Elephas maximus indicus: one gene and its partner. Each later gene encodes a partner of the first gene's protein in a complex. Links are inferred from orthologs where the notes say so. Each region holds a gene or a part of one and is shown in the gene's direction. Other genes may lie near its edges.

What was found.
Region 2: the proteins of SMURF1 (region 1) and SMAD1 are in contact, whole or in part, in an NMR structure (PDB 2LB1), measured with the Homo sapiens proteins. The link is inferred for Elephas maximus indicus from reciprocal best matches to the Homo sapiens genes SMURF1 and SMAD1. Residues at the interface, in NP_065162.1 of Homo sapiens: Glu313, Val314, Arg315, Ser316, Arg321, Tyr323, Val325, Asp326, His327, Arg330, Thr331, Thr332, Gln333, Phe334; in NP_001003688.1 of Homo sapiens: Asp221, Thr222, Pro223, Pro224, Pro225, Ala226, Tyr227, Leu228, Pro229, Pro230, Glu231, Asp232.

What each region holds. Positions count from the first base shown.
Region 1 is NC_064830.1:102,567,056-102,583,136, reverse strand, and holds the start of SMURF1 (E3 ubiquitin-protein ligase SMURF1), read left to right. Parts: upstream 1-9,754; 5' UTR 9,755-10,083; coding exon 10,084-10,138; intron 10,139-16,081. UniProt on the Homo sapiens protein: E3 ubiquitin-protein ligase that acts as a negative regulator of BMP signaling pathway. Mediates ubiquitination and degradation of SMAD1 and SMAD5, 2 receptor-regulated SMADs specific for the BMP pathway.
Region 2 is NC_064831.1:39,412,716-39,429,319, reverse strand, and holds the start of SMAD1 (mothers against decapentaplegic homolog 1), read left to right. Parts: upstream 1-8,114; 5' UTR 8,115-8,131; intron 8,132-8,332; exon of another isoform or gene 8,333-8,421; intron 8,422-9,389; exon of another isoform or gene 9,390-9,478; intron 9,479-16,604. UniProt on the Homo sapiens protein: Transcriptional modulator that plays a role in various cellular processes, including embryonic development, cell differentiation, and tissue homeostasis.

The sequences.
Region 1 (16,081 bases):
TTATTTGATTTCTTGATTGCTTCTTCCATAGATATTGATTGTTGATCTAAGTAGAATGAAATAATTGACGACTTCAGTCTTTCTCCATTTATCATGATGCTGTTTATTGGTCCACCAAGGAGTATACCCATCCCAATAGTCATATACACTGTAGACAGAGGCTTTCTCTTTGCCAATAGCCATGAATATGGTCTGTGTAACTGAAGGTACTCTTTTGCCACTGAAAACCTAGGAATCTTCCAATCTGAGCAAATGAGGGACAAGGCAGCAATAAAAAGAGAAATAGCTCTTTGCCAAAACAACCTAGTGCTACACAAATACTGTATTCTAGGCAACTGTTTGGTCCACAGCTTTCATAAGTCATTCAATGTTGGCATCAGAGGTGTAGTGAGGAGGGGCTAGAGGGGGGCATTTTCCCCTGGGTGCAAGTCCAAGGGGGCACCAGACGAAGGGCTGGTGGTGAATTACCCCCGTCCTATTGAAAGGCAGGAGCGGGGGATGGCAAATTTAGAGATTGCCCCTGGGTGCTCATTACCCTTGCTTTGCCTCCGGTTGGCACCAATCCCCCACTTATAGGAATTACTCTGCAAAGAATTCAGGGAGTAGAAACTACTTCAGGGGAAGGATGCATTAGCCTGAGCAGTTCCATGAAGCATCCCTAGTTTCTTTACCCATGACCCCTCTGTCAGCTTATCATACTGTGGTAGCTTGGTGGTGGCTTTCATGGGGCTATGATTCTGGAAGCTATGTCACCAATCTTTCAAATATCAGCAGGATCACCCATGGTGGACAGGTTTCAGTGGAGCTTTCAGACCAAGATATACTAGGAAAATGCTCTACTTCTGAAAACCAGCCAGTGAAAACCCTATGGATCACGACAGAATATTGCCCCATATAGTGCTTGAAGATAATACCCCTAGATCGGAAGGCACTACATAGTGGCCACAACAATGGCCTCAAACATGCCAATGATCATGAAGATGGTGTAGGACTGGGTAACATTTCATTTTTTTGTATGTAAGGTTGCCATGAATTGGAGCTAACTCCACAGCAAATAAAAACAACAGCAACAACCCTCTTTACAAAGTAAGCATTATCCTAAAACCAGCCCATTCTGACCCAAATGTTCCATTTGGATATATATTAGTTTTTTTGTTTTGTTTTGTTTTATTTAGGAAAACAACATTCAAATCTTATCTTTAGTCCAATGAGTTGAGAATCCAGCCATAATCCATAAATTCAGAGTGACGTAGCTGCTTTTCCAGCAGTGATGACCTCCCCACGTGAGCACGCCTCCTGCAAAGGATCTCCTTCATTCCTCTTCAGAGGAGGAGACGGAGAAACACAAGAAGAAGCACCTGGCGCGGAGCCCTAATGTCTACTGCAGAGACATGAAATGCCCAGGATGCTGTAACGTCACCACAGGCTTTAGCCACGCAGAAACCACAGTTTTGTGTGTTGGCTGCTCCCCTATCCTCTGCCAGTGTACAAGAGGAGAAGTAGGCTTACGCAAGGATGCCCTTCATATAGAATGTGGTATTTGGGTAGCACTAGGTTCTTTTGACAAAGAGCTGTTTCTCTTCTTATTGGGAAGAATTGGCCTGGAAGTTCGAAAGACATAGTTACTGCCTTGTCCTTCAGTTGCTCAGCTTGAAAGAGTCCTGGGTTTTTGCTAGTAAAAGAGCGCCTGGAGTTACACAGACAGATTGATGGCTATTGGCAAAGACAAAGCTTCTGTCTACAGTATATGTGGTTATTGGAGTGGGTATAATCCTTGGTGGACTAATAAATACCATCATGATAAACGGAGAAAAAATGGAAGTATTAACAGCACCCTGAATCAAGATGAGTGGGAAAACATCCCAATAAACACATTTTGGATACCCCCCCAAAAAGTGATATAGCTTTGAATTGTAGTAAGTACAGTCTTTCTTTTCTCTTGGTAGCAAGTATATTCTTCAGTGAAAATAAAACTTTTGCCATTTGAAAACTCTCACTTAATAAAGACAGGTTTTGCACCCTGGTCCTCTGCTCAGTTTAGACATCACAGATCTTGCTCTTGGAGCAGAGTGCAATGTTTAAAACGATTGTTACCTCTATGTGACCACCTAAGATGAAAACGCACAGTGGAAAAAGATGCAGCTTGCAGAGAAGAAGCTGCTCAAGCCTTTTAAAAAGCAAAGGTCACGGGCTGCCATAGGAGAAATAAAATTACAAAGCAATTTGTCCCAAGTATATTTGAATTGGTGATGTCATTCCTGAATTAATCGCTGCTGGTTAAAATTTTTTTCTATTGTAGTAAAAAATGTATATCATAAAATTTGCCATTTTAACAATTTTTAAGTGTACAGTCAGTGGCATTACATACATTCACAGTGTTGTGCAACCATCACTGCTATTTCTAAGACTTTTTCGTCATCCCAAACAGAAACTCTACAATCATAAAATTCACTGCTAATTTTTGAATGACTTCAGAAACCTGTTGTTGTTTGGTGCCATTAAGTCGATTTTGACTCACGGTGACCCCGTGTGTTACAGAGTAGAACTGGCCTACAGAGTTTTCTAGGCTGTAATCTTTATGGAAAGGAGCCTTGGTGGTGCAGTGGTTAAGCACTCAGCTGCTAACCAAAAAGTTAGCAGTTCAAACCCACCAGCGCCTCCTTGGAAAACCTGTGGGGCAGTTCGACACTGTCCTATAGGTCACTGTGAGTTGGAATCAGCTCAGTGGCAATGGGTTTGGTTTGGTGGTTTTAATCTTTACAGGAGCCGATAGCCAGGTTTTTCTCCCGCAGTGCTTTTGAGTGGGTTCAAATGGTCAACCTTTCAGTTAGCGGCCAAACGCCTTTAGAAACTTGCTGCCTAAGATATATGGCAAAAAGGCCACCTTCCTCATGCATCCTGGTGAAGCTGGTGACTCCTTCCCTTTCTCTCTTCATACCTATGTCATGTTGGTGTCCATGGAGAAGGGGAAAGCTTCAGCCGGGCTCTTCTGTCTGATTTATACATTTTGTTTTAATGATTTGTTTCTGTCTACTAACGTGGACACGTCAGGGATGATACCTCACTGACCTTTTTTAACTCCTTGCCTACTGGCACAATGCCTGGCACACAGAAGATTCCTGAGAAATGTTTGCTTAATATTGTACAGTACAACAAATGGGCTGATTTAGATGCAGCTGACTAGGAACCTTTCATGGGATTTACAGTCTTGAGTGACCCCGAGATGAAGGGGCAGATGGCATTAATTCCTAGGAGAGTAGAAGTGGCAACCTGGCCATATTCCTTCTGCTGAAAGAATTTGCTCCTTGGCTGTTGAGGTGTATTGATTGACTACTGGTCGTTTTCTAGCTTGGACAAACAATGGTTGTTACTTGCCATCGAATCAGCCCTCAACTGGTGGCGACCTCCCAACACACAACTAAACAAAATTGTGGTCCTGGACCATCCCCACGATCAGTTACGGATCAGACCCTTGTGAGCCACAGAGTTTTCGCTGGCTGATTTCCGGAAGTAGATCACAAGCTTTTCTTCCTAGTCTGTCTTAGTCTGGAAGCTCCACTGAAACCTGTTCGGCATCATAGCAACATGCAAGGCTGAGACGGGGTGGGAAGGTTGGGGGTAGCTATGAATTGGGGGCCTTGGCCAGGAATCCAACACAGGTCTCCGGTGGAAGGCAATAATTCTACCACCGCACCACCACTCCCTTGGACCAACAATACAACTTTTCTAACACTGGAAAAGAGGACTACTATTACAAATAAAAAACCTGTTGCCGTCGAGTTGATTCTGACTTGTAATGACCCTATAGGACAGAGTAGAACTGCTCCACAGAGTTTCCAAGGAGTGCCTGGAGGATTCGAACTGCCAACCTTTTGATTAGCAGCCATAGCACTTAACCAATATGCCACCAGGGTTTCCACTATTACAAATATGTGCATATAAACGACAAAATTGTGCTTTCTAAAATATGGTTCCTGGGAAAAGTCTCAAAGTCTTAAAACAATTCCTTGGTCTAAGTCCCGTTCATTCAGAGAGGCCTGGACACGCAGAGGGTTGATGCAGACTGGGGAGACGGACAGATGGACCAAAGTGTCTGCTTTAAGCACAATGCATGCTATGATACATGCCTAGAAAGGGGGGATGAACCTGGATTTGAAATATTTATCCTTAAAAACCTCTCACACTCACTAAGCAGGAATAAAAAAAAAAAAAACTAGTAATTAGGTCTCATCCCTCCCTGCACATACCAGATGCGACTAAACCCCAAATTAACTTAATTTGTTTATACTAGTGCCTTTAAATAATGAGGAGGTACAGCTCCCAGCCTTCTCCTGGTACTAGGGAAATCTTTGTCACATTTATCTGTGTGGGTTTCTATTTCTGCACCATCAGGGTAAGATAAAGGCTCCCCGAGTTAAACCGTGTATAGAGTATGCCCAGAGCTGCCTCAGTGACTGGTTCTGCACATCTGCACGACTGGGGAGTCAGGTCACCTCCTTGCCAACAGAAACTGTGGTTAATATTTGCCCCACATGGTGTTTGCCACACATGGGCACTTACAACAGCACTTTTTTGATAAGGAGAGCAAGAGCATCTAATTTATGAGTTTTCCAGTTGGTTTTAAATCATAGACCTACTTTAGCCTCTCCTCCTGACAGGCTGCTTCCATGTTGACAGTAGAGTCAGTAAGTACTTGGGGAATCAAATACCAACTCGAATTTAAATACCGGTATCTGTTTAATCAAACTATAAAATACCCATTGTCATCGAGTTGATTCTGACTCATAGTGACTCTATAGGATAGAGTAGAACTGCCCCCTAGGGTTTCCTAGGCTGCATCTTTACAGAAGCAGACTGCCACATCTTTCTCCTGCAGGGCAGCTGATAGGTTCCAACCGCCCACCTTTTGGTTAGCAGCTGAGCGCTTAGCCACTGCACTACCAGGGCTCCTTAAGCTACAGGCAACGTGTATCTGCTGCTGTCCTTCCCTGTCACATTCCTGAGACAGCCATTGGCCATCTGGGCCTATTCAGTATCCAGTCCTCTTCCTATTTAGGAGAAAGCCCCGTTGTGTGCAATTTTGGCAGGAGACAGCGTCCCATTTCCCACTACAAAGGTGAACCTGCCCTCGTCTTTCCTTCTTGCTGTCTGCAGGCAGCCAGGGCATGGGGCCTTATCTCTGCTCAGACTGGCAACTCCTTCCAGGGCTTACAATCTTGAGTGACCCCAAGATGTGGGTACTGAAAAAACCAAACCAAACCTGCTGCCATTGAGTCAATTTTGACTGATGGTGACCCCACGTGTATACTGAGTAGAACTGCCCCATAGGGTATTTTTAGCTGTGATCTTTATGGAAGCAGACCACAAGGCCTTTCTTCTGTAGCATCACTAGGTGGGTTTGAACCACCAACCTGTAGGTTAGCGGTGGAGCGCAAACCATTTGCACCACGCAGATGGCATTAATTCCTAGGAGAGCAGGCCGTACTCCTGCTGAAAGAATCTGCTCCTTGGCTGCTGAGATGTGTTTTCTAGCTTGGACTTAGAGTCGTCGAAGGATTCAATGATCCTCTGAAATTCTTCTAATGTGTTGCATTTTTGCTTAAGTTAGCGAGAGTTGTTTAACAGTCTAACGAAAACACCCTTTGTTTTGGATTTTGTACAACCCTGCTCTCTTGCATTAGTTAGGAGTTAACTGTCTACCTGGCTCTCAGATGCAAGCCGGAGTCAGAATCACCTGGAGGACCTGTTAACACACAGGTTGCTGGGCCCTGGGTTTCGATGCGTTAAGGCTATCTAGGACGGGACCTGATAGTTTTCATTTCTAACCGTTCCCAGGTGCTGCTGCTGCTCTGGCGACCCCACTTTTGAAAACCATTGGTCTAGAATAGACTCGATCTCCGTCCAACCCTGTCCAAAGACTAGTACGATATTTAGCCAATAAACAATGATTCGGGGTCTTACGTGGGACTTCCTCTGGGTTGATTTCCCTGGTTACTGTTGCTTACATGTTATAGGTGAGTTACGACGAATTTGGAGAATTTTTATTTGTCTTATTTTCCCAAACATATTTCTCCAAGGTAGTAGTAGCACTAATAGGTTTTGGAGTGAAGATGAGCCTGCACATTTTACTCATAAGAACTACTGTTTATTGAGTCCCTCCTATATTAACTGCTACTTCTACATCCATGATTTAATTTAAACCCCACAATAACTTTGCATGAGAGGCATTAGCCCCATTTTGGAGATAAGCAAAATGAGGTTTGGAGAATTTAATTACCTTCCTCTATCACCAGCTGGGGAAACCCTGGTGGTGTAGTAGTTAAGAGCTATGGCTGCTAACCAAAAGATTGGCAGTTCGAATCCACCAGGGTGCTCCTTGGAAACCCTTTGGGGCAGTTCTACCCTGTCCCATAGGGTCGCTATGAGTCGGAATCGACTCCATGGCACTGGGTGTGGTTTTGGTTTGGTTATCACCAGCTGGTAATGTGGTGGAGACAAGGTAGAGTGTGGGGCTGTGTGAGTCCACAGCTACTCTCTTTTTAGCACAAATTATGGCCTTCAAAAGGAGCAGTGACCGCACATGAGGTGCGCTGGCGGGGGATCTAACCTGGGTCTCCGTCAGGGAAGGTGAAACTCTACCACTGAACTACCACACCACCTCCCCCCAACACACACAGAAGGATATCCCCAAAGTTAACTGCTTGATCACTTTCTTTGGAATAGGGGTTCTTAATCTAGGGAGTATGGGCCATTATAGGATCCACGAATAGGTTTTTGGGGATAATGAACCCACTGAAGTTGGTAAAATTTGGTGTGTATGTGCACATATGGATTTTTCTGGGGAAAGGGTCCAGAGTTTCCATTAGATTCTCAAAGAGGTTTGGGACTCAAAACAGGTTAGAACTACTCAGTCAGAACAAAGAGAGATGCCCAATAACAGTGACACAAGGAAGTGGTACATACGGTGGAAATAGAATCAGTTGGCAAGCCTCCATAGAAGGCAGGGGCAAAACTGCTCTTTGTAAAGCCATTGCAAAGAGGACATTTGGAGGGACTCATTGAGTTTTTTTCAGCAGAACTGCTTGACATTTCATATCTATCTGGCCCAGAGATCTCTGGAAGGTAGTACTTCTGATGAAGGTTGATACATGGTGGAAGGACATCCAGGTAGTTCAATATGTGGGCTGGCCCAGCCGCAGAACGAAACAGCAGCTGATGATTTTTAAGTGGGCAAATAGCTTTTATCATTTTTATCAACTTTCAGTGGAGTAAAGTACGTGGGGAGAAGATATGGCAGCTATGCAGTCACACTGGCCTGGAAACACACTGGAAAATGCATTCACGGACACACCTCTGCACAAGTTGTTCAATCTGTCTGCATTTCCCTTCCTGCCTCTTTGCCCAGCAAACCTGAACCCTGCATTTAAGCTCCAGATCAAGGCCTGCTGTGACTCTTCTGAGACCTCCCCAGCCCTCTCCTCCTAGGCAGAATTGTCCTGCAACCCCTGGTCTAGCCCTCTGTACCCATCTCTGTCCCTCTACCATTGTTTCCCTGTCAACTGAGGCTCTGAAAAGCTAAAGTAGTAACCAGTGCTAGTTGCCGTCAAGTCGATTTTGACTCATGGTGACCCCATGTGTGTCAGAGTAGAACTGTGCGTCACAGGGATTTATTTTTTTGGAAGTAGATTGCCGAGACTTTCTTTCAAGGTACCTCTGGGTGGACTCAAACCAGCAGCCTTTCAGTTAAGCAGCCAAACAATGTTTGCACCATCCAGGGACTCCAAAATGCTAAAGCCATGACTTATTTTGTGTCCCTTGTCCCTAGCCACATAGTAGGTGGCCGATGTTGGCTGAGCAAACGCTAAATGTAGAAAGCATTAGCTACCATTCAGGTCCCCTCTGTACAGGCTGTGGTGAGATGACTATTTTGTGCATCTACTTAGATGACAACAGCAATTATGTGTTAATGAGTAAACAAGATGCCTCTTGGTAATCTCCAAAAGCAACCTCTTGACTCAAGGGTTGAAGAAATAAGCAAAGGAAGGCCCAGGCATCAAGGCAGGTGAGAACACAACGAGGTTAAGAAATGCCAGGTTTCTAGGGTGGAACAGCTGAGGCTTGGGACAGGGGCCAGTGCTCAGGTAAGCAGAGAGAGATGTTTGGTTTGGTTTGGGGAGAAGAGACTTCTTGAATTTGGGAATAAAGAGGAGAGAAGGGGGAATACTGACTGGACTGAAAGAAGAATGGCCATCACTTGGGGTGTCAGACAACACACTGAATGGATTTATTCAGGCCAAGGGACTCTCAGTCACAATTGCATAAAAAGAGAAACAGCTGGGTTCTGGGTCTACTCCTCTGTTGGTTAAACATAGCTTGTATTCTTGGATATTACACTAGAATCATTGCAAGTCTGAGCTGCAAGGGACCACAGAAATGATCTGAGCCCATCCTTTCATTTGATGCTTGAAGAAACTGAGGCCCCAAGAGGCAAAGCCTTGGGTCCAGCCTATGACAGACTGCTTTCACTGGGCTCAGCCAGAGGCAGGACGGCAGGGAACGTCCAGAGACTCTAGGCAGAGGGCTTTGTTCTGAAGACTGTGAGCTCAGGAAAGGCCCAAGGCCACAGGGAATGTGAGCAGTTGCCCAGACCCTGTCTGGCTTTTTAGAAAGAGTTGCCACTGAATGATTCATTGTGACCTCATATATGTCAAAGTAGAACTATGCTCCAAAGGGTTTTCAATGGCTAATTTTTCTGACATTGATTGCCAGGCCTTTCTTCCAAGGTGCCCGGTGGTCTGGAACCTTCATACGTTAGCAGCTGAGCCCATCACCCAGAGACACCATTTTTAGGACACAAACCAAATAAAGGCATTTAAAAGAATGAGGTATTTGGTCAATAACAAGTTTGATAAACCCACCTTTTCCTCTCGATTAACACGTTATTTCCTCTCCATATCGTATTAACAATAAGAGCCATTTGTTTGCTGGGAACGTCTAATGAGCCTTTAGCGAGCAGAAGGCGGGAAAACACGGCAGTAACTGCTAAACTGTATGCAGATTAGATATTAACCTCTTAACTTTATCCCTCTCTCAACTGTTGTTTACTTTGCCCACACAGGGCACTTCCTGCCATTCTGGCAACTTCCATACGGGGAAATCAGAGCGCAGGAGTTGCGGAGAACACACACCTAACGGACTTTGTCTCTGACAAGTCCCTCCCTTGAAACTGCATTATCGAAACACAAAATACGCTACTGAATGTCTGCTGGTGCAAGGTACTTAGTCTAGGAACAGGGCACCGACACAAAGGTTTCGTGTCGCCCGTCCTTCAACAGCTTATGAGGAGTCCCGGGCCTGGAGTCAGAGACCTGGGAAATCGGTTCCTTTCTCGGAACCTCACGTCCGCATTTGCACGTCGGCTCCCTGGGAACCGTCGCGGACACTGGAGGCGCCGGGGCGCGGGCAGCGCCGTCAGCCGCCTGTGGCGGACCCCGCGCGGTCCCCTCGCAGCCTCGCCGCCGAGGAAGGGGCGCGCCGGGTGCACCCCACGCCCAACGCCGCATCCCCTCCTGCAGGGCGCGGGCGAAGCCCCCAGGCCGGGCGCCAGGAGGCCGAGCTGCTGACGTAGGCGCGCGCCCCGCCCCGCCCCGGCGTGCCCCGCCCCGGCGTGCCCCGCGGGCGCGCGCACGCAAACGAGCGCGGGGGCGCACGGCCCGGGCGCGCGCAGGGCCGGGCCGGCACAGCGGCGAGAGCGCGCGCGGCTCCGGGAGGCGGCGGCGGCGGCGGAAGCGGCGAGGGCGGCGGGCGTCCGGCTCTGAGGTGGTGGCGGCAGTGGCGGCGGCGGCTCTGGACTGGGCTCGGCTAGGTGCGAGCGAGGGCCGGGGGGCGCTGGGGCGAGTGCCGATCCCCCGGCTCGACCATCCGCCTGCCGCCCGGACGCCTGGGCCGCGGAGTTTGTGTCCCGGCTCGGACCCCGGCGCCCAGCCCGGAGCCGTAACCTTGAGGCGGCGGCGGCGGGGCCGGACCGGTCCGGGCCGGGGGGCGGCGGCGCTGGATCCGCGGCCACCCGATCGCTGGCGGGAGATGTCGAATCCCGGGACGCGCAGGAATGGCTCCAGCATCAAGATCCGTCTGACAGGTACGGCCGGCGGGGGGCCCCCGCCGCCCCCAGCTCCCACTCAGACCCCGCGCCGCCCCTCACCAGCCCCGGCATTTCCCCCGTATCGCCCTTGGGATGTGTCCCTCCCCCAACCGGCCGTTGTCCCAGGACCTCCTCACCCCCCTCGGTGTGTGCCCCTTGTTGCTCCCGGCCCCGCCCCCTCGCTTCTGCCCAGGCCCCGCCCCCTCGCTTCTCTCCAGGCCCCGCCCCCTTGCCTTTCGCCCCCATCTTCCTACTTTCTTCCCTCCTCCCTCACACCTGCCTTCTTCCTTCTCCCTCCTGGCCCCACCCCCACGCTTCTCACCCCCACCTTCCAACTCTCTTCTCCCTCACACCTGCCTCCTTCCTTCTTCCTGGCCCCGCCCCTCGCCACCCTAACCCCGCCCCCTTACTTCCTTGCCTCTTAGCTCTCCCACTAAGGTCCCCTCACTTCCATCCTGGCCCCGCCCCTGCCTCTCCCTAACCACGCCCCCTTCTTCGCCTCCTAGCTCTTCTCCCACTATCGTCCCCTCGCTTCCATCCTGGCCCCGCCCTCGCCTCCCTAGCCCCGCCCCTTGCCTCTCCTTAACCCCGCCCCTTCCTTGCCTCCTAGCTCCTCTCCCACTGTCCTCCCCCACTTCCATCCTGGCCACGCCCCCTCGCTTCTCTCCTCTTGGCCCCGACCCCAGGCATCTCACCATTTCCCCCCAACTTTCCCCTCCTCTCCCCCCACCTGCCTCCTCTCATCTTTCTTCCTCACCCTCCTCACCCTCCCCTGGTTGCCCTCCCTCTTCCCCCACCTGTGCCTTCGCCTCTCCCCTACTGGCCCCGCCCCTTTTCTTGGCCACGCCCCTCGTTTTTCTCTAGCTCCTTCCTGGCTTATCTCCCATTCCTGCCCCCTTGCTGCTTTCTCCGGGGCCCCAACCCTTTCCTTGAGCTCGAGCTCCTGTTCTCCCGTCTAGCTTCTCCCAGTCCTCTTGCCTCACTTCTCCTTTGGTCCAGACCCCTTCAGTCTAGCCCACTTCCTTTTCCTCTCAGGCCAGACCACTCTCTGCCCTTGACGCTGCTGTTGCAGTTCGCGGCGTCTCTGTATTGCACTTGACCATCATCCTGCCACTCAACACTCTTGAGCCCCTCTTAGACACCCCCACCCCCGCACTGGAGGCTTTGGCAGCTGCAGAAACCAGGCTTCTTGATTCACTCTCAGTCTTCAGTGAAGAGTCCCTGTTTCCTTGGTGGCTCAGTGGTGCCACTTCAGGGGGGAGCGTGCCGCTCTGCTGTAGTTGGGATGTGTGCGAATGTGAACCTCCCTAGTGCGCTCCAGGGGTTCTGGACCAGTCTGCATCCTCGCCTGCCCTTTCTCCCTCCTCTTAGCTTGTTCCGGGTTCACCCTCTGCCCTTCCAGCTTAAATTCACGCCTAAGGCAGTTTCCTCCTGTTGCAAATGCGGTGTTGCTGGGGGACTTTCCAAACTCGAATATTTCCAGCTCTGGAAAGGAAAGAAAAAGTTTCATCTAATCCCTGTTACGGATTTTCCTCTCGATTTTTCCTTGTGCAGTTTCTGGCCTAGTGCGGATTCCGAAGCCAGTGTCTGCTCAGTTCCTTTCAAAGGAGAGAATGAGCGTTTTGAACACTTTATGGCAGAAACAGGAGCCCTGGTGGCACAGTGGTTAAGGGCTTGGCTGCTAATGGAAAGGTTGGGGGTTCCAAACCACCAGCTGCTCTACTTTATAAAAATGTGGCAGTCTGCTTCTCTAAAGATTGCAGCCTTGGAAACCCTATGGGGCAGTTCTGCTCTGGCCTGTAGGGTCACTATGAGTCGGAATCCACTGGACAGCAATGGGTTTTTTTTTTTTTTAGTTGCTCTGTGAGTGCCTTAACCAAAAAATAAAAATAAAAACACCAAAACCCACTGTAGTCAATTCGATTCTGACTCAACAGTTGGTGATTTTTTTTTTAAAACTAAAGATTCCCTCGAAACCCCATAGTTGTTGCATGATCCATTTTTTTGTGTCAAGGAAAGGGTTGTAATTATTTGTCCTTTTACAAGGATGTCAGATCAGGAATGACTTGGGCCCAAACCCAGACAGACCATGGTTTTGTAAGGTCACAGGTATATCCCATGGGTCTTTGCTTCTGGAGAGACGTTATCCTTTATACCAGGGCCCGGATATGAAAGACTTCTATGTGCATATATACATTAAACTATTTTTATGGCTACATAAAAGCCATGTTTTTGACATTGTAATACTTGTAAAACTTTAATTATTGACTGCTTTAATTTGGTTTGAATTTACAATATAATCTATAATTGATATTAGATCATTTTCTGTTTTCTTGCTAAAAGAGAAGTAACTGATTTTGTGAGTTTTGTAGAAATGCAACTCACGTTTTATAAGGAATAAGGTTTTAGTTACAAATGTATGTGTTAGATTCTAGGATATATATATCCTGGTTGGCAGGTCTGGGCCTAGTCCTTTTCCTTGTGAAAGAGAGGAAGATTGTTTTTGGATTCAGCAATCAAGATGTCATAGATACAGAAACGTTTCTGAGTTTTTGGATGACGTTGGATATTAAGGGATCAGGGATGATGAGTATTCTTTCTAAAGGACCTTTTCCCTTCCCCCCATCGTTAACTGCTATGGAGTTGGCCCCCGACTCATGGCTACCCCGTGCACAACAGAATGGAATGAAACACTGCCCTGTCCTGCTCCAGCCACGTGATTGGTCGCAGATTGAACTGTTGTGATCCATAGGGTTTTCATTGGCTGATTTCGGAAGTAAACTGCCAGGCCCTTATTCCTAGTCCATCTTAGTCTGGAAGCTCTGCTGAAACCTGTTCAGCATCACAGCAACACTCACACCTCTGCTAACAGATGGGTGGTGGCTATGCACGAGGTGCCTTGGCCAGAAACCGAACCTGGAAAACAAAGCTGGGTGTTGTGAGAAGTCTACCACAGAGCCACACTGCCCCTTTCCCGCTAGTAGATACTAGGAATGGATCTGAGAGGATGTGTGAGTGTGAGTGTCCCCGATACAGGATTGGCAGCTTAGTGATGATTGCAGAACACACATGTTGGCAGTTGTCTGTTGAATATTAATTTATGTGGAAACGCTGGAACGAACTGTTTTATTTGAAGATAGGCTTTGGCCTAATTTTTTAAGGTTGCTATGGGAAGTTTGAAATTTTTTCACTTTTGGCATATTGTGTAGCTATCTTTCAAAAGTAGACTACTTTTGTTACAGGTTTCACAGGTTTTTTTCCGTGTGTGGTTTTTGAAAATATGGCTTTAAAGCGAGGGACATTCTAGCCAGTAAACGAATACCACACAGAGCATAATTAAAGGCAAAATATAAAGACCTTGGAGTTATAAAAAAGCATTTAAAACTTTTGAATACATGATTGTATTTGGTTGTGGGTTGTTGTTTTGCGCCCTCAAGTCGATTCGGTCTAGACAGAGTGGAGCTGTAATCTTTACATGAGCAGATGGCCAGGTTTTATCTCCCAAGGAGCAACTGGTGAGTTCAAACCATCCACCTTTCAGGTAGCAGCCAAGTGCTTCATCATTGTGCCACCGGGATACCTTCGGCTGTAGGTAGAGCATTAGATTTAGAGTTAGGAGACCTGGATTCCGGTCATATCTACCATTAGCTGCGTAATATGGAACATATTATTTAACCTTCTGGGCCTCAGTTTCCTCATATATAAAATGAGATTTCAGTCTTCATTGTACCGTTCTTTGATTCTACTTTTCTCTCACAGGCTGTATGGGTTCGTATACCTGTGTACCCACATCACTGTGGGGCACTTATGCTTTCTGTTGTTAAGACTCAGTCCTGATATTCAGAAATTTGTGTCAAAGCACAGCACTTGGGTTTGACTTACGCCAAGCATTGATTTTGTGTATTGATTACATTTATGACTTTTTTTAAAACCTGTTTTGTTCCTGAAAATCTCTGGGTAATATGATGTTGAATTGCTTTATAAACGTGTTTTTAAGTAGTAGAAGAATGTTTGATTCTTTATATTTAAAAGGATATAACTTTAATGGATGTCTTTGTAGTATTTTAGCAGGAAAATAATTTTTAAAGAATTTCAGTAGGTTTTTTTGTTATATGCAAAATCAAGGGGTCTTTGCTAAAGAGCATTATCTTGGAGACATTTTAGAAGTCATGGGCAAAACACTTTGGGAACATTTTGATTTTAAATTCAAGCAGGATTTGCAAAATCTTTGTTCTTATGTGGTACACAAATGAGTCCCAGATACATTATTTTGGCCACTTTGGGTTAAAGAATGGAATTTTGCACCTGAAGGATTCCACAGTGCTGTTTGAGAAAATTAAATTTTACCCAAATGTTAATCAGTTGAAATACCAAATACCTAAACTTTCTTATGCTTTTGTGGCTTGAAATATTGTCAGACTTCCTTGTGCTTTTATATCTCTTGGAGCGTGACCGTGTATGTGAAGAGAGAAAAATTCTGATTGCAAGTGAAGAGGGGGAAGTCGACTTTCCTTGATAGCATGTGGAAATGAGAAGGATATTTTTAAAGCTGCAGCATATGGGATGAAAGGCCGACTTGGGTTTCAGCATCCAGATGGTGCACTTGGGGAAAAATAGTCGTAGCAATAACTGTTAATAACTTTAATTGATCGATAACAGGTGGCCTAATTGATTGGAAATAGTTAGGTTTCTTTTAAGAAAGATTTGATAGCTCTTAAGAATGTTGACTTTGTCAGTTTGTACCAGCTGAGGACCTCACTTATGTAAGGCAGGCTCTTCGCGAGTGGAACACAGTTGCTGCACTATGAAGGAATAAGTGATCGGTCTTTAGTGCCGCCTGACATCTAAAAAAAAAAGTGCATAACATTTTCCTTAGGGTCTGCCTCCAGTTTAAGAAGGTGTAGTCAAGGCACTTCTTTGAGCTTTATTATCAAGGTGTGTCAGATGGATTAGCTCAAATAGTGTTGTAAAACTTATTACATAAAAACAAAAATCACAATCTGCCCAGTACAGGTTCTATTACTGATTTTATTTGTGATTTGATCACATTTGTGTTGTCTTTAAAAAAAAAAAAAAAAAAGTTTTTTTTCCTCCCAAATTTGTGTTTTTTTCTTTGCATCTTATTGATCCATTTTAACTAACTTTACAAATGAAATATTGCATATACTTTTATGAGTCGGAATCTACTCAAGGGCAACTAGTTTATTTATATCTTCAGTTTTACAATAGTTGTGATTTATCAAACATTTTTGGCAAACGCGAAAGTCATTTCTGACGCTTGGCTTTTTCCTCTCTTCCACCAGTTTCTATTTATCCTGTTCGGTCACATTGTCATGTTGTAGTGTGGGCCATTGGGTAGAAGAAGGGGGGCGGGGTCCGAGGCCTGAGTCACTTGTATTTCCTCATGAATTAAAAAAAAAAAAATACTGACCCATAATATTTCCACATCAGCTCAATTGTCCGGTTAACTAGACTGGCTGTTTTGTAACACATTTGTGGGCTCTGGTCAAAAGTTAAAATAGCTGAATTGTGCATTTTACTGAGTGGTGAGAGAAAAAGGGAAGTTCAAAAAACCTTCTCAATCAGACAAAAGAATTTGACATCTTTGCAGTACTCTGAGTTTTTCTGATTGGGAAAGCCTAACTTTTAGCAGTCTTATTTGGATGAAATTTTTGTAATCTCAGAACCGTTTTAGAGATTAATTATCTTTAAGTGAATTAAAAAACCAAATCCGTTGTCATCGAGCCGATTCCCACTCATAGCAACCTTATAGAACAGAGTAGAACTGCCCCATAGAGTTTCCAAATAGCGCCTGGTGGATTCGAACTGCCGACCTTTTGGTTAGCAGCCGTAGCATTTAACCACTACGGCACCAGGGTTTCCTTTAAATGAAAACGGAGTAAAAAAGAAAAAAAATTTTTTTCCCCTCACCAAACAACA
Region 2 (16,604 bases), on another chromosome or scaffold:
ACGTGTATGGCCACCGTTAATGTTGGTAAAAACTGGTATTTGCAACGAAGAAGTCAATGGTCTTGAAAAATTCAATTATGTGATCTCCAGCATCATTTCTATCACCAAGGCCATATTTTCCAACTGCCGATCCTTCTTCCTCGCTTCCAACTTTTGCATTCCAGTCTCCAGTAATTATCAGTGTTTCCTGATTACATGTTTGATCAATTTCAGACTGTAGAAGTTAATAAAAATCTTCACTTTCTTCATCTTTGGCCTTAGTGTTTGGTACATAATTTTTTTTTTCATGGTGATTGTATTTATTTTTCAAATTTCTGTATCCTATTGGTTTTTCTTAAGTAATTTCTAAAGCAGTTGCCTCCATGTAAACCATTACCAAATTTTCTTTCTTTCTTTTTGATTTTAATGTGCTTTAAGTGAAAGTTTACAAATCAAGTCAGTCTTGCATACAAAAATTTAGGTACACCTTGTTATATACTCCTGGTTGCTCTCCCCGTAATGAGACAGCACGTGTCTTCCCTCCACTCTCTATTTCCGTGTCCAATCAGCCAGCTTCTGACCCCCTCTGCCCTCTCATCTCCCCTCCAAACAGGAGCTGCCCACATAGTCTCATGTGTCTACTTGATCCTATATGCTCACTCTTCACCAGTATCATTTTCTTTCCCCTAGTCCAGTCCAAGCCCTGTCTGAAGAGTTGGCTTTGGGAATGGTTCCTGTCTTGGGCTAACAGAAGGTCTGGGGACCATGACTTCCGGGGTTCTTCTAGTCTCAGTCAGACCATTAAGTCTGGCCTTTTTACAAGAATTAGAGGTCTGCACGCCACTGCTCTCCTGTTCTCTCATGTGTTCTCTGTTGTGTTCCCTGTCAGGGCAGTCATCGGTTGTAGCCAGTCACCATCTAGTTCTTCTGGTCTCAGGCTGATGTAATCTCTGATTTATGTGGCCCTTTCTGTCTTTTGGGCTCATAATTACCTTGTGTCTTTGGTGTTTTTCACTCTCCTTTGCTCCAGGTGCGTTAAGACCAATTGATGCATCTTAGATGGCCGCTTGCTAGTGTTTAATATCCCAGACGCTACTCTCCACAGACAGATGCAGAATGTTTTCTTAATAGATTTTATTATGCCAATTGACTTAGATGTTCCCTGAAACCATGGTCCCCAAACCCCTCCCCTGCTATGCTCACCTTCAAAGTGTTCAGTTTATTCAGGAAACTTCTTTGCTTTTGGTTTAGTCCAGTTGTGCTGACCTCTCCTGAATTGTGTGTTGTTTTCCCCTTCACTTAAAATAGTTCTTATCTACTATCTAATTAGTGAAAACCCCTCTCTCTCCATTCTGCCCCACTCTTGTAACCATCAAAGAGTATTTTCTTCTCTGTTTAAACTATTTTTTGAGTTCTTATAATAGTGGTCTCATACAATATTTGTCCTTTTGAAACTGGCTAATTTCACTCAGCATAATGCCTTCTAGGTTGCTCCACGTTATGAAATGTTTCACGGATTCATCATTGTTGTTTATCGATGCATAGTATTCCATTGTGTGAATATACCATAATTTATTTATCCATTCATCCATTGATGGGCACCTTGGTTGCTTCCATCTTTTTGCTATCGTAAACAGTGCTGCAGTGAACACGGGTATGCATATATCTGCTTGTGTAAAGGCTCTTATTTCTCTAGGATGTACTCCAAGGAGTGGGATTGCTGGATCGTATGGTAGCTCTATTTCTAGTTTTTTAGGGAAGCACCAAATCGATTTCCAAAGTGGTAGTACCATTTTACATTACCACTAGCAGTGTATAAGTGTTCCAGTCTCTCCACAACCCCTCCAGCATTTATTATTTTGTGTTTTTTGGGTTAATGCCAGCCTTGTTGCAGTGAGATAGAATCTTATTATAGTTTTGATTTGTATTTGATCATGAGCATTTCCTCATGTATCTCTTAGCTACCTGAATGTCTTCTTTAGTGAAGTGCCTGTTCATATCTTTTGACCATTTTTTAATAGGGTTATTTGTCTTTTCATAGTTGAATTTTTGCAGTATCATGTAGATTTCAGAGATCTGATGCTGATCGGAAATGTCATAACTAAAAACTTTTTCCCAGTCTGTAAGTAATCTTTTTACTCTTTTGGTGAAGTCTTTGGATGAGCATAGGTGTTTGATTCGTAGCAGCTCCTAGTTATCTAGCTTCTCTTCTGCATTGTTAGTAATGTTTTGTATACTGTTTATGCCATGTATTAGGGCTCCTAGCATTGTCCCTATTTTTCCTTCCATGATCTTTATCATTTTAGATTTTATATTTAGGTCTTGGTGTGTAAATTTGAATGTTAGTTGTATTAACTGCTCTTCCTTGTAGGCATATCCTAGGTGTTAGTGAGCTGAAATGGAGTGGTATTGGCCATTTTGAATCAATCATATGATTTGCTATGCCAGAAATGACAAACTGAAGAGGAATGGCACCATATTCATTGTCAAAAAGAACATTTCAATTTCTATCCTGAAGTACAACACTGTTAGTGATAGGGTAAGATCCATATGCTTACAAGGAAGACCAGTTAATAAGAGTATTATTCAAATTTACGCACCAACCGCTAATGCCATAGATGAAGAAACTGAAGATTTTTACCAGCCTTTGCAGTCTGAAATTGATCAAGCACGCACTCAAGCTGCATTGATAATTACTGGTGATTGGAATGCAAAGTTGGAAACAAAGAAGAATCAGTAGTTTCTGAAAATATGCCTTAGTGATAGAAACGATGCTGGAGGTCACATGATAGCATTTGGCAGGATCAATGACCTATTCATTGGAAATATCTTTTCTTAACAGCATGAACGGTGGCTATACACGTGGACCTTGCCAGATGGAACACACAGGGATCAAATGGACTACATCTGTGGAAAGATAATAATGGAAAGACTCAATATCATCAGTCAGAACAAGGCCAGGGGCCAATTGTGGAACACACCATCAATTGCTCATATGCAGGTTCAAATTGATGCTGAATAAAATTAGAACAAGTCCATAAGAGCCAAAGTACTACCTTTTGTTTATCCCACCTGAATTTAGAGACTATTTCAAGAATTGATTTGACGCATTGAACATGAATGACTGAAGACCAGACAAGTTGTGCTAGGACATCATACATGAAGAAAGCAAGAGGTCTTTAAAAAGACAAGAAAGAAAGACAAGACCAAAATGGATGTCAGAAGAAACTCTGAAACTTGCTCTTGAACATCAAGCAGCTAAAGCAAACAGAAGAAATGATGAAGTAAAAGAGCTGAACAGAAGATTTCAAAGAGTGGCTAGAGAAGATGAAGTGAAGTGTAACGACATGTGCAAAGACCTGGAGATAGAAAACCAGAAGGAAAGAATATGCTTGGAATTTCTCAAGCTGAAAGAACTGAAGAAAAAATCCAAGCCTCAAACTGCAGTATTGAAAGATTTTATGGGCAAAATATTGAATGATGCAGGAAGCATCAAAAGAAGATGGAATACACAGAGTCACTGTACCAAAAAGAATTGGTCAATAGCCATTTCAGGAGATAGAATATGATCAAGAATGGATGGTATTGAAGGAAGAAGTCCAAGCTGCACTGAAACTGCAAAAAACAAGTCTCCAGGAACTGATGGAATACCAATTGAGATGTTTCAGTTAACGAACAGATGCAACACTGGAAGTGGTCATTTGTGGATGCCAAGAAATTTGGAAGACAGCTACCATGCCAACCAACTGGAAAAGGTCCATATCTGTGACCATTCCAAAGAAAGGTGATCCAATAGAATGTGGAAAGTATCAAACAGTATCAAAATATCACACGCAAGTGAAATTTCACTGAAGATCATTCAAAAGCAGTTGCAACAGTATATTGACAGGAAACTGTCAGAAATTCAAGCCGGATTCAGCAGAGAACATGGAACAAGGGAGGTCATTGCTGATGTCAGATGGATCTTGGCTGAAAGCAGAGAATACCATAAAGACATTTACCTGTATTTTATTGACTATGCAAAGGCATTCCACTGTGTAGAACATGACAAATTATGGATAACGTTGCAAAGAATGGGAATTCCAGAGCACTTAGTTGTGCTCATATGAAACCTGTACATAGACCAAGAGGCAGTTGTTTAAACAGAACAAGGGGATACTGCACAGTTTAAAGTCAGGAAAGGTGTTGTATCCTTTTGCTGTACTTATTCAATCTGTATGCCGAGCAAATAATCTGAGAAGCTGCTAAAGAAGACTATGGCATCAGGATATGCAGTAGGACTCATTAACAACCTGTGTTATGCAGATAACACAGCATAGCTTGCTGCAAGTAAAGTGGACTTGAAGCACTTACTGACGAAAACCACAGCCTTCAGTATGGATTACACCTCAACATAAAGAAAACAAAAATCTTCACAGCTGGACCAATAAGCAACACCATAATAAACAGAGAAAAGATTGAGGTTGCCAAGGATTTCATTTTACTTGGATCTACAATCAACACCCATGGAAGCAGCAGGCAAGAATTCAAACGATGTATTGCATTAGGCAAATCTGCTATAAAACACCTCTTTAAAGTGTTAAAAAAGCGAAGATGTCACTTTGAGGACTAAGCTTAGCCTGACCCAAGCCATGGTATTTTCAATCGCCTCGTGTGCATTTGAAACCTGGACAATGAATAAGAGACTACAGAATTGATGCCTTTGAATTGCGGTGTTGGGGAAGAATATTGAATATGCCATGGACTACCAGACGAACAAACAAATCTGTCTTGGGAGGTGTACAGCCACGATGTTCCTTAGAAAGAGGGACGGCAAGAATTTGCCTCACGTTTTTTGGACATGTTGTTAGGAGGGGCTAGTCTCTGGAGAAGGACGTCATGCTTAGTAAAGTAAAAAGTCAGTGAAACAGAGGAAGACTCTTGATAAGATGGATTGACACAGTGGCTGCAACAATGGGCTCAAACACAGCAACAGTTGGAAGGATGGTACAGAAGAGTGTTTCCTTCTGTTGTACATAGGGTAGCTATGAGTTGGAACCAACTCCATGGCACCTAACAACAAAAGCAACAAGTGAAACATCCATAGACAAGCAGGAAAAGAGGATATAAAATATGTGTGTGAGGGGTCGGGAGGGTTGCTGGAGTGGCCAGGGCAAGCATCACTGAAATGGGGGCAGTTGAGTAAAATCTTGAGGTGAGGGAGTGAGCCAAGTGGCTGACTCTGGTAAGCACTTTCCAGGGAAGGAACAGCTAGTGCAGAGGTATTGAGGCGAGGGTGTGCGAGGGTCGTTCCAGGGCTAGTGAGGAGGACAGACATACTTGAGGAACTCATCAGGAGTAGGACACAGGTCAGAGAGGTAAATAGGGGTGGGGATTGAAGATCATGGAGGGTCTTGCGCACATTGTGAGAACTTCTACATTGAATGAAAGAGGAGCTGAGAGACAGAAAGAGAAAGACAGAGAGAGGTTGTTTGTTTTTCGATACAATGATGTTTAACAGACAGTCCATATTCAGGTATTCACTGTTGTTCCAATAATGTCCTTTCCAAACATGTACCTGAATGTTTACTACCACTTGAAGAAATAACTTTCACAATGTGCCAAATCAAATTCCATAGTATTTGTAGTATTAATAGCTATTATTTGGGATTACTAGTGGTGCACTGAGAAAGGCCGTCCACAGGTTAGAAAAAACATGAACAGCTTTATAATATGATTTTATCGCTCTTCCCCTCAATCCAACATACAAGCGAGCACCATATGCTGCATTTAGTTAAGTGTTTTTTAACAGTTTTATTGAGATATAATTCACGCATTTAAAGTATACAATTCACTGGCTTCGAATATAGTAACAAAGTTGTGCAAACATCACCACAAACTAATTTGAGGACATTTTCGTTACCCCCCCAAAAGAAACCCTATACCCTTTAGCCAGCATTCCTCCAAACTCACCTTTCTCTCAGCCTTCCAACACAACAACCAACCCACTACCATCCAGTCGATTCCCACTCACAGCGATACAGGACGCAGTAGAACTGCCCCATGGAGTATCCAAGGAGTGCCTAGTGGATTCAAACTGCTGATCTTTTGGTTAGCAGCCATAGTTTTTTACCACTATGCCACCAGGGTATTTCCCCCCTGCCTTAGGCAACCATGCATCTACTTTCTGTCTCTACGGATTTGCCTGTTTGGAACATTTCATATAAATGGAATCTGGAATCATACAATATGTGTCTTTTGTGACTGGCTGCTATTACTTAGTGTAATGTTTTCAAGTCTCACCAAGTTGTAGCATGTGTCAGTACTTCACTTCTTTTATGAATGAATAATATTCCATTGTATGGATACGGAGCTCTGGTGGCACAGTGGCTGCTAGCCAAAAGGTAGTCAGTTCGAATCTATCAGTGGATGCTTGGAAACCCTACGGGCAGTTCTACTCTGTCCTATAGGGTCGCTGTAAGTTGGTATCAGCACCATGGCAATGGGTTTGATTTATCAAGGATTTTTATCACATTTTGTTTATTGAGGAAGGATTTTGAGCAGAGGAATGACCTGATTGGACTGGCATTTAACTAGGCTTACTCTGGCTGTAAGTAGCCCTGGTGGTGCAGTGGTTTCAGTGCTTGGCTGCTAACTGAAAGCACACGTGGGTTTGAACCCACCAGCCACTCCTTGGTAAAAAGATGTGGCAGTCTTCCATGAAGATTTACAGCCTTGGAAAGCCTATGGGGCAGTTCTGCTCTGTCCCACAGTGTCGCTAATAGTCGGAACAGACTCCAAGGCAGTGAGTTTGGTTGGTTTTGACTCTGGCTGTTGTTCTAAGGAGCAGAGAGTGATCAAGTGTGTCAAATGCTGCTGGTAGGGAAAAGAAGATGAAGCCCAAGAATTGACCAGTAAGTGCTCAAATAGTTTAACAAAGAAAGCAATTAAGTTAGCAAAAGTATTCTGCTATTTAATTTATAAAGGGTATTTTATGAGTTTTATGGAATTTGTTGCATTTCCCTTGAAAAATTAAAATGGAATGAAAAATAATAATTATTAAGAAGAATTTAAAATGGTATGCCAGATTTCATAAGGGCATATGAACCATTGCAGAGTATCACTTATTTATGTAAGTCTTTGGTATTTTCTTTACTGTAAAAAATGGTGTAGGAATTCTTTTGGTTCATGTGAAGCTTATTCCTCAGAATAATTATTTTCCTCTATGCTAACTCAACAATATGGTAATTATCCAAGATTTTATGCCAGCTTCTAGAAGGTTGGCCAAGAGAAAAACTGACTCTTAAGAAAAGATACTTTCAATGTCTATGCAGGTCAGGTGGGTTGTGCAGATCAGGTAGATGAGAGCTAGTTTTTCTTTGCGGGGCGGGGGGGAGTTGTGTGTTCTAAAAGATAGTAGAAATTGGACCAAACAGACTTCTAAACTCCTTTCAGGCATCTGTTATTATTTGGAGCCAAGAAGGTGAACTATTCAAATTATTGGACCCCAAATTGGCACAAAACACATCTTTTGATTTAGGGTTGGTATGAGCGGAATCGAGGGCACTGGGTGGGTTACGAGTACATGGCCGGAGAAAGATGTGGCAGTCCGCTTCCCTGAAGATTACAGCCTTGGAAACCTATGGGGCAGTTCTGCTCTGTCCTACCGAGTCGCTGGTGAGTCGGAATCAACTACATGGTAAGTTTGGTTTTGGGTTGTGAGCGCATGCAATAGTTACTCGGTCATCCAAGTTTAGATACCCGCAAATTCTGAGGCCTGCAAATCATTCGGGAATGAGGGGCTATGAAAACTTGACCTAAGAAGAGGTCTCGGGAGATAATTGCCAAAAATACACTCCACGTTTACAGTGTGGTTCGGTGGGTGCGGTGGATGTGTTAATGAGTATTTCAGAAAATAAACACGCAGAACACTGAACTTCGCTAGCAGAGAATGCACTAAGACCTCAGCAGCTGGATTAAAAGAGGTAGGTTCAGGAAAGCCAGCACGCAGCGTTCTTTTTCCTTCTTGGGGCGTGGGGCTGGGGGCGGTCGCTCGGGCCGCTTCCCCGCGCTGTCCGCGGGCCCCGGCGCCGCTGCGCTCGGGCCGGCCCAGCCGGGAATTTGGAGAGGATCCCTGGTCGCGCGGCGGAGGCGGCGGCGCGCGAGTGCGCGTGTGAGCGAGCGAGCGGGCGGGCGGGCGAGTGCGCCGGGTATTGGCAGCGGTGCAGTGGAGGCTGGGCGGCTCCGACTCCCTGACGCCAGCGCGACCAGATCAATCCAGGCTCCGGGAGCAAGCGGGCGGGAGGAGGAAGGAGAAGCCGAGCGCCTTAGCCCGGGCAGAGGAACAGGGAGGCACCCTGCGAGCGGAGCGCGGCGCAGCGCCCGGCCGGCCGGACCCGGGCGGCGGGACCCCGCTCGCCCGGCCATTCGTGCGCCCGCACGGACGGGCGCGCCGCCAACCCGGTAAAACGAAACAGAACCGAACCCAGCTTGCCTTGCTGCCGTCTCCCCTCCGCGCCCGAGGTTTCCCAGAGCCGCCGCTTGAGCCGGCGCGGACGGCACGGGCTAGCGGGCGGGCCGGGGTGGTGCGGGGTCGGCGGCGCGACTGCCGAGGGGAGGGGGTTCTGCGCCGCGTGGGGCGAGCCGGGAAGCGGCCCCCTCCCCCACGAGGGCGCCTCCCCGCCGCTCGCAGGAGAGAACCTGCCACCTCGGCCGCCGCCTCCCTTCGCGCCCAGCCGGCCGGGCAGGGCTCCGCCGGGGTTCCCCTCGCGTCTTTGTTGGGTCTGCGCCGGAGAAGCCGCATTCCTTGGCCTTGGAGCCTCGCCCCCGGCCCTGCCCGCGGCGGGACCTCTCCGGCCGCCCTCCCCCTCCGCCTGTTCCCGGTTTCTCTTTCCCGGTCTGCAGCCGGGCCGCGTCCGTGTGCGCGGCCCGCGGACCCATTGTGTCCCGCGCCGGCAGGGCAACCCTTGCGGGAGTTGGAGAACCGGCGCCGGCGCTGCCGTTTACGGGCTCGGGGAGCGGGGCTCGCGGGAGGACGACACGGGTGCCCTGGCCCCTCCGCATCGCAAAGGGTTGCCTTGTCTGTCCCAACGAGCGCGCCTTTGGGGTCGAGGTCAAGGAAAGTTCGCACCGAAATTCTAATTTATTCAAAGGTTTGGCGGCGCGTAATTTTTTTTTTTTTTCGTCTTCCGCCTACGCCGCCTGCGTCTTCAAGTGTCGTCTCATTCCTTTCCCTTTACTGGATTCGATTGCCTCACTGCATGTGTATTTGTGAGTTCGCTGTGGAACAACTGTTCTTTTCCCTGCTCCCTGCCTTTGTTAGGTGTTCTCGGGGTTGTTTGTATTGGAAGATGGGGATGGTGGGTGTGAGAGAGACAGATGTGGGCTTGTTTTTCTAGTTGCTGAGTATATATGAAGGCTTCCAGGGAGAGCGTTTCCTTGATGTGCTTAGGAAGGGAAGAGGAACAAATGCCTGGCGAATCTTACAACTCCAGTAGCTGCGGCTCCTGTTTCTTTGGAGGTACATGCAGTTTTTAAATACACTGCGCAAGATAATCAGGAAGGCGCTTTCCTTCTGAAAACTGAGGCCCGTCTCAGAACCATCTCCTGAGGAAAGCAGCGTTTTCGTGAGTGCTGTGACAACTGGCCTTTTTCTTTTCACTCGTGTTTTTTTTTTCTTAATTGCCATTGTATCTCAAGTTTCTGAATATGTGGAATGATACAGAAGTTGCATGATTGCTGTGTGTCTTCTGTGGCTGAAACGCTTTGCACCTAAATCACAGAATGCCTTTATTTCAAAACATCTCTCGCTCAGATCGTCTCTCGTGGATAACATGCCCACACTTCAGTAACACAGTGAGAAAACTGTTCTCTGCCTGTGTTGATTTTTCGCCTTGTTTATAATTACCACTCTAAATTTTATCGGAGGTAGGTGAGCCGTATTGGAGGAACCACTACTTAAAAAGAACTGAGGCAGAACGGCTGTTCACCGCCCCAGAATTGGCATACATATTTTTGCACCAGTGTTGTATGATTCTGATGTAGATGCAAGGCCTGACTGTGCTGTTCTCATGAAAGTGTTTATCCTCCCTCTGTCTTTCCCATTTGCAGTTATTTGATATTTCTGTGAGGTGGTATACCATTTGTGTAATACTGCAGTTCTTAGGAAACGGTAAACGGGGTCGTTCGAGATGGTTTTCTGGAGATGGGTGATGTTGGAGCCTCTAGAGGATCCAGGCGGGATCAGGTTTCTTCTAAGGGTGGGGATTTGTCCTTGATTTAGTTTTGACCCTTCCAACCATAGGTATGTAACCAAATACGTTTTTTCTTCTGCAGTATCTTTTATACTCTTGAAAACCTGATGACCTTTGCATTCTAGAGAAATGACAGTTTTTAAGGAATTAACAGTGTCAGCCTCTTGCACCTTTTAGAATTGAAGTAAAAAAAAAATTTTTTTTTCTACTAAGTTCAGATGAAGCATTAAAAGGAAGTAAGGCACATTTTCCTAAATATATTTATGAGTTCCGAACTAAATTTCAGTTTGTAATTGCAATTTCTAGTAATTCTGGGTCACGGATAAAATTAATAATTTGGTAGACTGGGAAAAGAATAAACTTGATTCTAATTAGACGAGTGTATTTGAGCTGCAGTAGCCTACTTAATCAAGGCCAAGTTGTGTGTATAAAAGGTCTCATTTGTGTAGTCTTACAAGGCTAATGGAGGCATCACTGAAGCTTTATAAATAATGTAAGTTGTGTATAATGTAGAGTCTCAAGAGACGGCAGAGAAAGCATCATTACCAGCCTTTTCAACCTGCTTGAGATCTTAAATTGATTTACAGCACTGAACTGGTGCAAAATGATACATCAGGATGACTTGGGGTCAGCCTGTAAAAGTCTATGATGTCAGCCTATTAGTTCAGTCATCATAATTAAACCATATTACGGGGGCAGCTAAGCAGGAGTCTGGCGTTATCCTTCAGATATGGGTGGTGCATGAGTTTTGTTTATAGTGCAAAAGACTAAATGGCCAAGAACCCTAGTGTGTCTGAAGGAGGGGGAGGCTTATGGAACTCTGAATTTCTGAAAAAATTGAAAGTAAATGCAGAGATGTTCAGTCAGCATAGTATAAGTAGCTTTCTGTTTGGTAGTGGAGAAATAGATGCTTTGAGGGTACTGGTAAGGCAGGACCGCAGCAGCTCTGATCCGTGTACTGAATCATGCTTCATGTGAGCTGGAATTTAACTTGGCCTCGGGGACTTTCTAAAATACCAGCAGAACCCATATCTCTTATCTTATTAGCATGGGTTCTCACTGTATCGATGTATCAGCTGACATGTTATTTCTTTGACTAGTCATAATTACTAGGACTCCACTGAAACCAAACACTTGAACATATGAACAATTCAGGAAAAGAAAACTCCTGTTTTTGCTTAAATTTTTGGTAATCCTTACTCAGTTCGTGGATCATCTATGACTGTGTTGCACAGTAAGGTAGCCACTAGCGAAGAATATTGACTGTACCGTGGACTGCCAGAAGAATAAACAAGTCTATCTTGGAAGAAGTACAGCCAGAATTTTCCTTAGAAGCGAGGTGGCGAGACTAGTCTCACATACTTTGGACATGTTATCAGGAGGAATCAGTCCTTGAAGGAGGACATCATGCTTGGTAAAGCAGAGGGTCAATGAAAAAGAGGAAGACCCTCAAGGAGGTGGGTTGACACAGTGGCTGTAACAACGGGCTCAAACATAACGATTACGAGGATGGCGCAGGACCAGGCGGTGTTTCGTTCTGTTGTACACAGGGTTGCTGTGAGTCCCACCCGTCTTTGACGCCCCTAACAACAACAGCAGCTACGTGTGGCTGTTTAAATTATTTAGTATTAGATAAAAATTTATTTTCTCAGTAGCAGTAGCTGCGTTTAAAGTGCTCCGTAGCCACACGTGGCTGGCGGCTGCCCTATCAGATAACGTATATATAAAAACATATCCATCACTCCAGAAGGTTCTACTGGACAGTGCTGCTCTGGGACCTCTGCCTCTTGCTCCCTTTACTTTTTCGGTGGCTTCTTTGCTTGTTACCGCTACTAATGATTTTGTGGGATCAAAGAGAAAGACAAATCAACTAATTTTGTTATTAGTTAGTTGCTTTTGTAAAAATAAGCAGTTTAGAAGTGACAGCTGAAGCTTCTGGATAAAATGAGGTTGACTTTTCTCCGGATCTTATTTACCATTGGCCTCATGGATCCTTATTTGATTAGCGCTTTGGGTAAGAGAAGTAATGGTAGCTTTTTTTTTGGTCTTTACTATGTGCTAGGCATTGTTTTAATATGCATAGTATCTCATTTAAGCCTCAAAGTTTCCCTAAGTACTATTGTTAATCACATTTCACAGGTGAAGAAACTGAGGCCAGAGTGATTTAGTGTATTGTCCCAGGCTCCATAGCTAGTAAATAAACATGGTTAATAATCTCAGCTGGGATAGGAGCAAGGCAGTCTGACTCCAGAGCCTCACTCTTAACTGTGTTTTTTTTTTTTGTATTTGAGTCTAGAATACCCAGATAGTCATTGTTTGGCTGTGCTATACTATGTCACTATAGACATGACTTTGCTTTTATTTTTTGTACTTTCAGACAGGTTTGTCCTCTGTTGTGCTTTTCTGGGCTGCCTTCTCCTGGAATAATGTTAACACTTTTCTAAGCAGAACATAGTTGGAAGAATAGATCTGACATAAAAGTAGTGCATTTCAAAGGCAAATTAGTCGAATCACCTTCTTTTCTGGATCACTCCTGCCACTTTCTCCTGTTGTTGTCTTGTACATCACAAGCTGATTGTACTGATGAGGAAAGTACTAGTAGTTCAGTTTATCTCTTCAAAATTAGTCTTGCGGGAGCTGTTAAAACACTGCATCTTGAGATAAGAATAGTTCATTGTAAATTCCCAAAGATTATTTTTTTTTTAAATGTTTAATGTCTATACTTTGTGTAATGTCTTACAATTCAGTAGTTTTCAACTTTTTGGGGGGATGGGCAGGGCTGTTTAAGAATCTAATGTAACTATGGACACTATATCTTCTCCTCACTCCTGTTCTCTTGCCCAAAAATGCTTATGTGCCCTCTTGAGCTTGTGTGTGCACATACGCAGATCGCAGGTACGTCAGGTGAGTTATATTCATGGACTGCCTCGTCGGGTGCTTTCATAAACATTAAAGATTTGTGATTTCCTTTACAGCGAATATAGACATTTAGTGTTCTAGAGATTTTCTAATGAGTTGGTTCACATTAAGATGAGAAATTTGAGGCCCGGAGAGGATAACCAGCTTGCCCAAAGTTATCCCTCCAGTGATTGAACGAAGGGAAGCTAGAACCTGCCTCTGTCTCTTTGTGTTTAAATACGGAATTCATTTCTTGGTTTTTTTCTACTCCACTATATTCCTGAGGTTTTGGTCTGAGCATAGCAGCATAATTTGGCAAGAGAAGGAAAGAAGAAATTTTTGGCTTGATGGTGACTTTTTCTACCCAGCACTGTTTGAGCTGAGTAGGAATCAAGTCTGACACCTGCAGAGAGAGGTTCGTTTTTTTACAGATTAGTATTGATTTTTTTTCTTTCTAGTGATAGAAAAGAAAAGCCTTGCATCCAGTTTAATAAATGGGACATTACTAGAGAATGGGAGAGCCGAGATTGTACAAAATTCAAAGTAAGTCATAATGCAGATATACCCTTCAGGCAGGCAATTCTGATATACAGAGCAAAACACAACTCTCTTTTGAATCTTAAAAACAAATCACATTCCTAACCGAAAGCTGAAGTTTGGGAGATTAGGGAAGGAGCTAGAGGTTCCTGGGAAGAGAGCTGGAAAGGTCTGAGGAGAAAAAGGGATAATTTAATGTAAAAGATGGAGAAAATTGTCACTAAGTCGTAAGATAAGAGGCTAATGAAATACTCTGTCATAGTATTTCTACATGTGGTTTTCCTTTCTGATGCCAAGATTAGCAGGGTGTACTTTGATAACAACAAATAGGAGTACCTCCTGTTTGTCCCAGACTGAAATCTCATGACTCTTCGTGTTCCTTTTCTGTTATCTGGTAGTGCAAATATTCAGTCTCATCTAGTGCGCTATCAACTGATTTGCAGCAAAAACTCCTGAAGTATCTGGAGTAGTTTCCTTAAAAAAAAGAAAAAAATGGGCAGCTGCAGCTAACTAGCATGAATGTAATTACTTCAAATCTAAAATGAAATCTTTGTTTTGGTGTGTATTATTAAGATGGGGTCAGCTTTAGAGATGCACTGCTAGTCCTATAGGCAAAAAAAGTAACATTTACAGCTATGGCTGGCTGACATGCAGGTTCTGCAGGACATTTATTTGTATAAGGGAAGCTCTTTTTCAGACAAGAAAAGCTAAACATTCATAAACAGTCGTACTCCAGTGAATACATCAGAATTTCAGGAAGATACTGGAAGCTGCAGTGACTGAACAGTTTAACAATTTTTGTAGTAAACTGAAATCTTTAGGGAAGATTTTAAAAACTTTAGGGAAGACTTGCTTTTGCAAATAAGCATCAAACCCTTTAAGGTTTGAGAGAGTCCTTACCTGCTGATTCTCCCAGATCTCTTCTCTGCTCAGTTCCTAGTGTTTTGATGAGGAGCCTTATTCCTTTTAAGAATCCGGGTCTGTGGTATGGTGAATTGATTTCTGAACTCATTTTTTAAGATAACAAGCCCGAATTAAAAACAAGCACACCTACAAAGAAGTTAATTGTGTACGCGTATGCTTTTGAGCTCATGGTGTAAATAAATGTTCCCTGTGTCATGGTGGTGTAGTGGTTAAATGCTATGGCTGCTAACCAAAGGGTCAGCAGTTCGAATCTGCCAGGCGCGCCTCGGAAACTCTGTGGAGCAGTTCTACTCTGTCCTATAGGGTCGCTATGAGTCGGAATCGACTCGACGGCACTGGGTATGTCATGCTTGGAAACCCTGGTGGCATAGTGGTTAAGTGCTATGGCTGCTCATCAAAAGATGGGCAGTTCAAATCCACTAGGAAATCCTTGGGAACTCTATGGGGCGGTTCTCTTCTGTCTTATAGGGTTGCTATGAGTCAGAATCTGCTCGGTGGCAGTGGCAGTGTCAGGCTCGGTCTTCTGTCTATTGAGTAGAAAATATATTTATAAACATGATTTTTTAATGCCTTATTTGTAGTTTTTCCCTTAACTTTAGGGCTCCTGTATTATAGATATTTTTTTCTTCTGATCTGGGATTGTTTATATAGGAAACCCCGGTGGCATAGTGGTTAAGAGCTGCAGCTGCTGACCAAGAGGTTGGCAGTTCAAATCTACCAGGCACTTCTTGGAAACACTGTGGGGCAGTTCTACTCTGTCCTGTAGGGTCGCTATGTGTTGGAATTGACTCCATGGCAACGAGTTTGGTTTGGTTTTCTCAAGCTATTCATTTATTTTGCTCTCCTTGCCCATCTTTTGTGGTTTCTTTGTGATGTGCTTATACAAAGTGGAAGTATTTCAGATCTTTGTAGCTTCTTTCTTTCAGTTTTAAGCATTGTCATTAGTTAGTTAGATAAACTCAAGAGCTTTTGTTTATTTAGAGTGAAAGAAAGCATGCCTTTGTGATGGATATTAAATATGCCCTCATTTGATAATTTTGATGTATTATAGTAAGCGAGGAGCCCTGGTGGCACAGTGGTTAAGCGTTCAGCTGCTAACCAAAAGGTCGATGGTTCTAATCCACCAGCTTCTCCGTGGGAAAAAGATGTGGCAGTCTGCTTCTGTGAAGATTTACAGCTTTGGAAACCCTATGGAGCAGTTCTCCCCTGATCTCTTAGGTTGCTATGAGTCAGAATCAACTCAACTCCGGTTTTTTTAATTACAATAAGCAGGAGTCCCTGGGTGGTGCAAACAGTTTAGTGCTGGGTTACTAACTTAAAGGTTGGTGGTTTGAACCTACCCAGAGGCACCTCAGAAGAAAGGCCTAGCAATTTGCTTCCGAAAGGTTACAGCTGTGCAAACTCTGTGTTGTACAGTTCTACTCTGAAACACATGAGTCACCAGGAGTCAGAATTGATTTGATGGCAGCGGGTTTGGTTTTGGTTTATTATAATAAGTATATGCTTCATTTAGTCAATGAATATTATTTCTAAGTGACTAAGTTGACCCAGTAGCTGAACAGTAGGCTTCAAACATAGCAACAGGGGGGCACAGGACCGGGCAGTGTTTTGTTCTGTTGCAAATAGGGTCGCTATGAGTCGGAACCACCTCTATAGCACCTAACAACAGCAAAGTGACTCAGTAATTAGTGAGAAGATACGCAAAAAAGAAAAATGCAGCAACCTTGTAAGAGTTGTCACAAGGTAGTACAGAGTGAGTTGTACAGACAGCTCACGTGAGGACCACTGTGGCATGTAGAGTTTGGGGAAGGAGTGAGCAGAAACTTGAGCTGGAGCTGGAAGGACATGTGGTTTGGATGGGAAGAAGGAAAGAGGAGCGCTAGGCAGAGTAATGGCAGGGGAACTGAGGAGGTGGGCGTGAGTGTTGGGCAGCACTGTCCAGTAGAAGTTTCTGTAATGATGGAGAGGCTCTATATCTGCTCTGTCCAATACAATAGCCACAAGCTGCTATTAAGCATTTAAAATGTGGCTAGT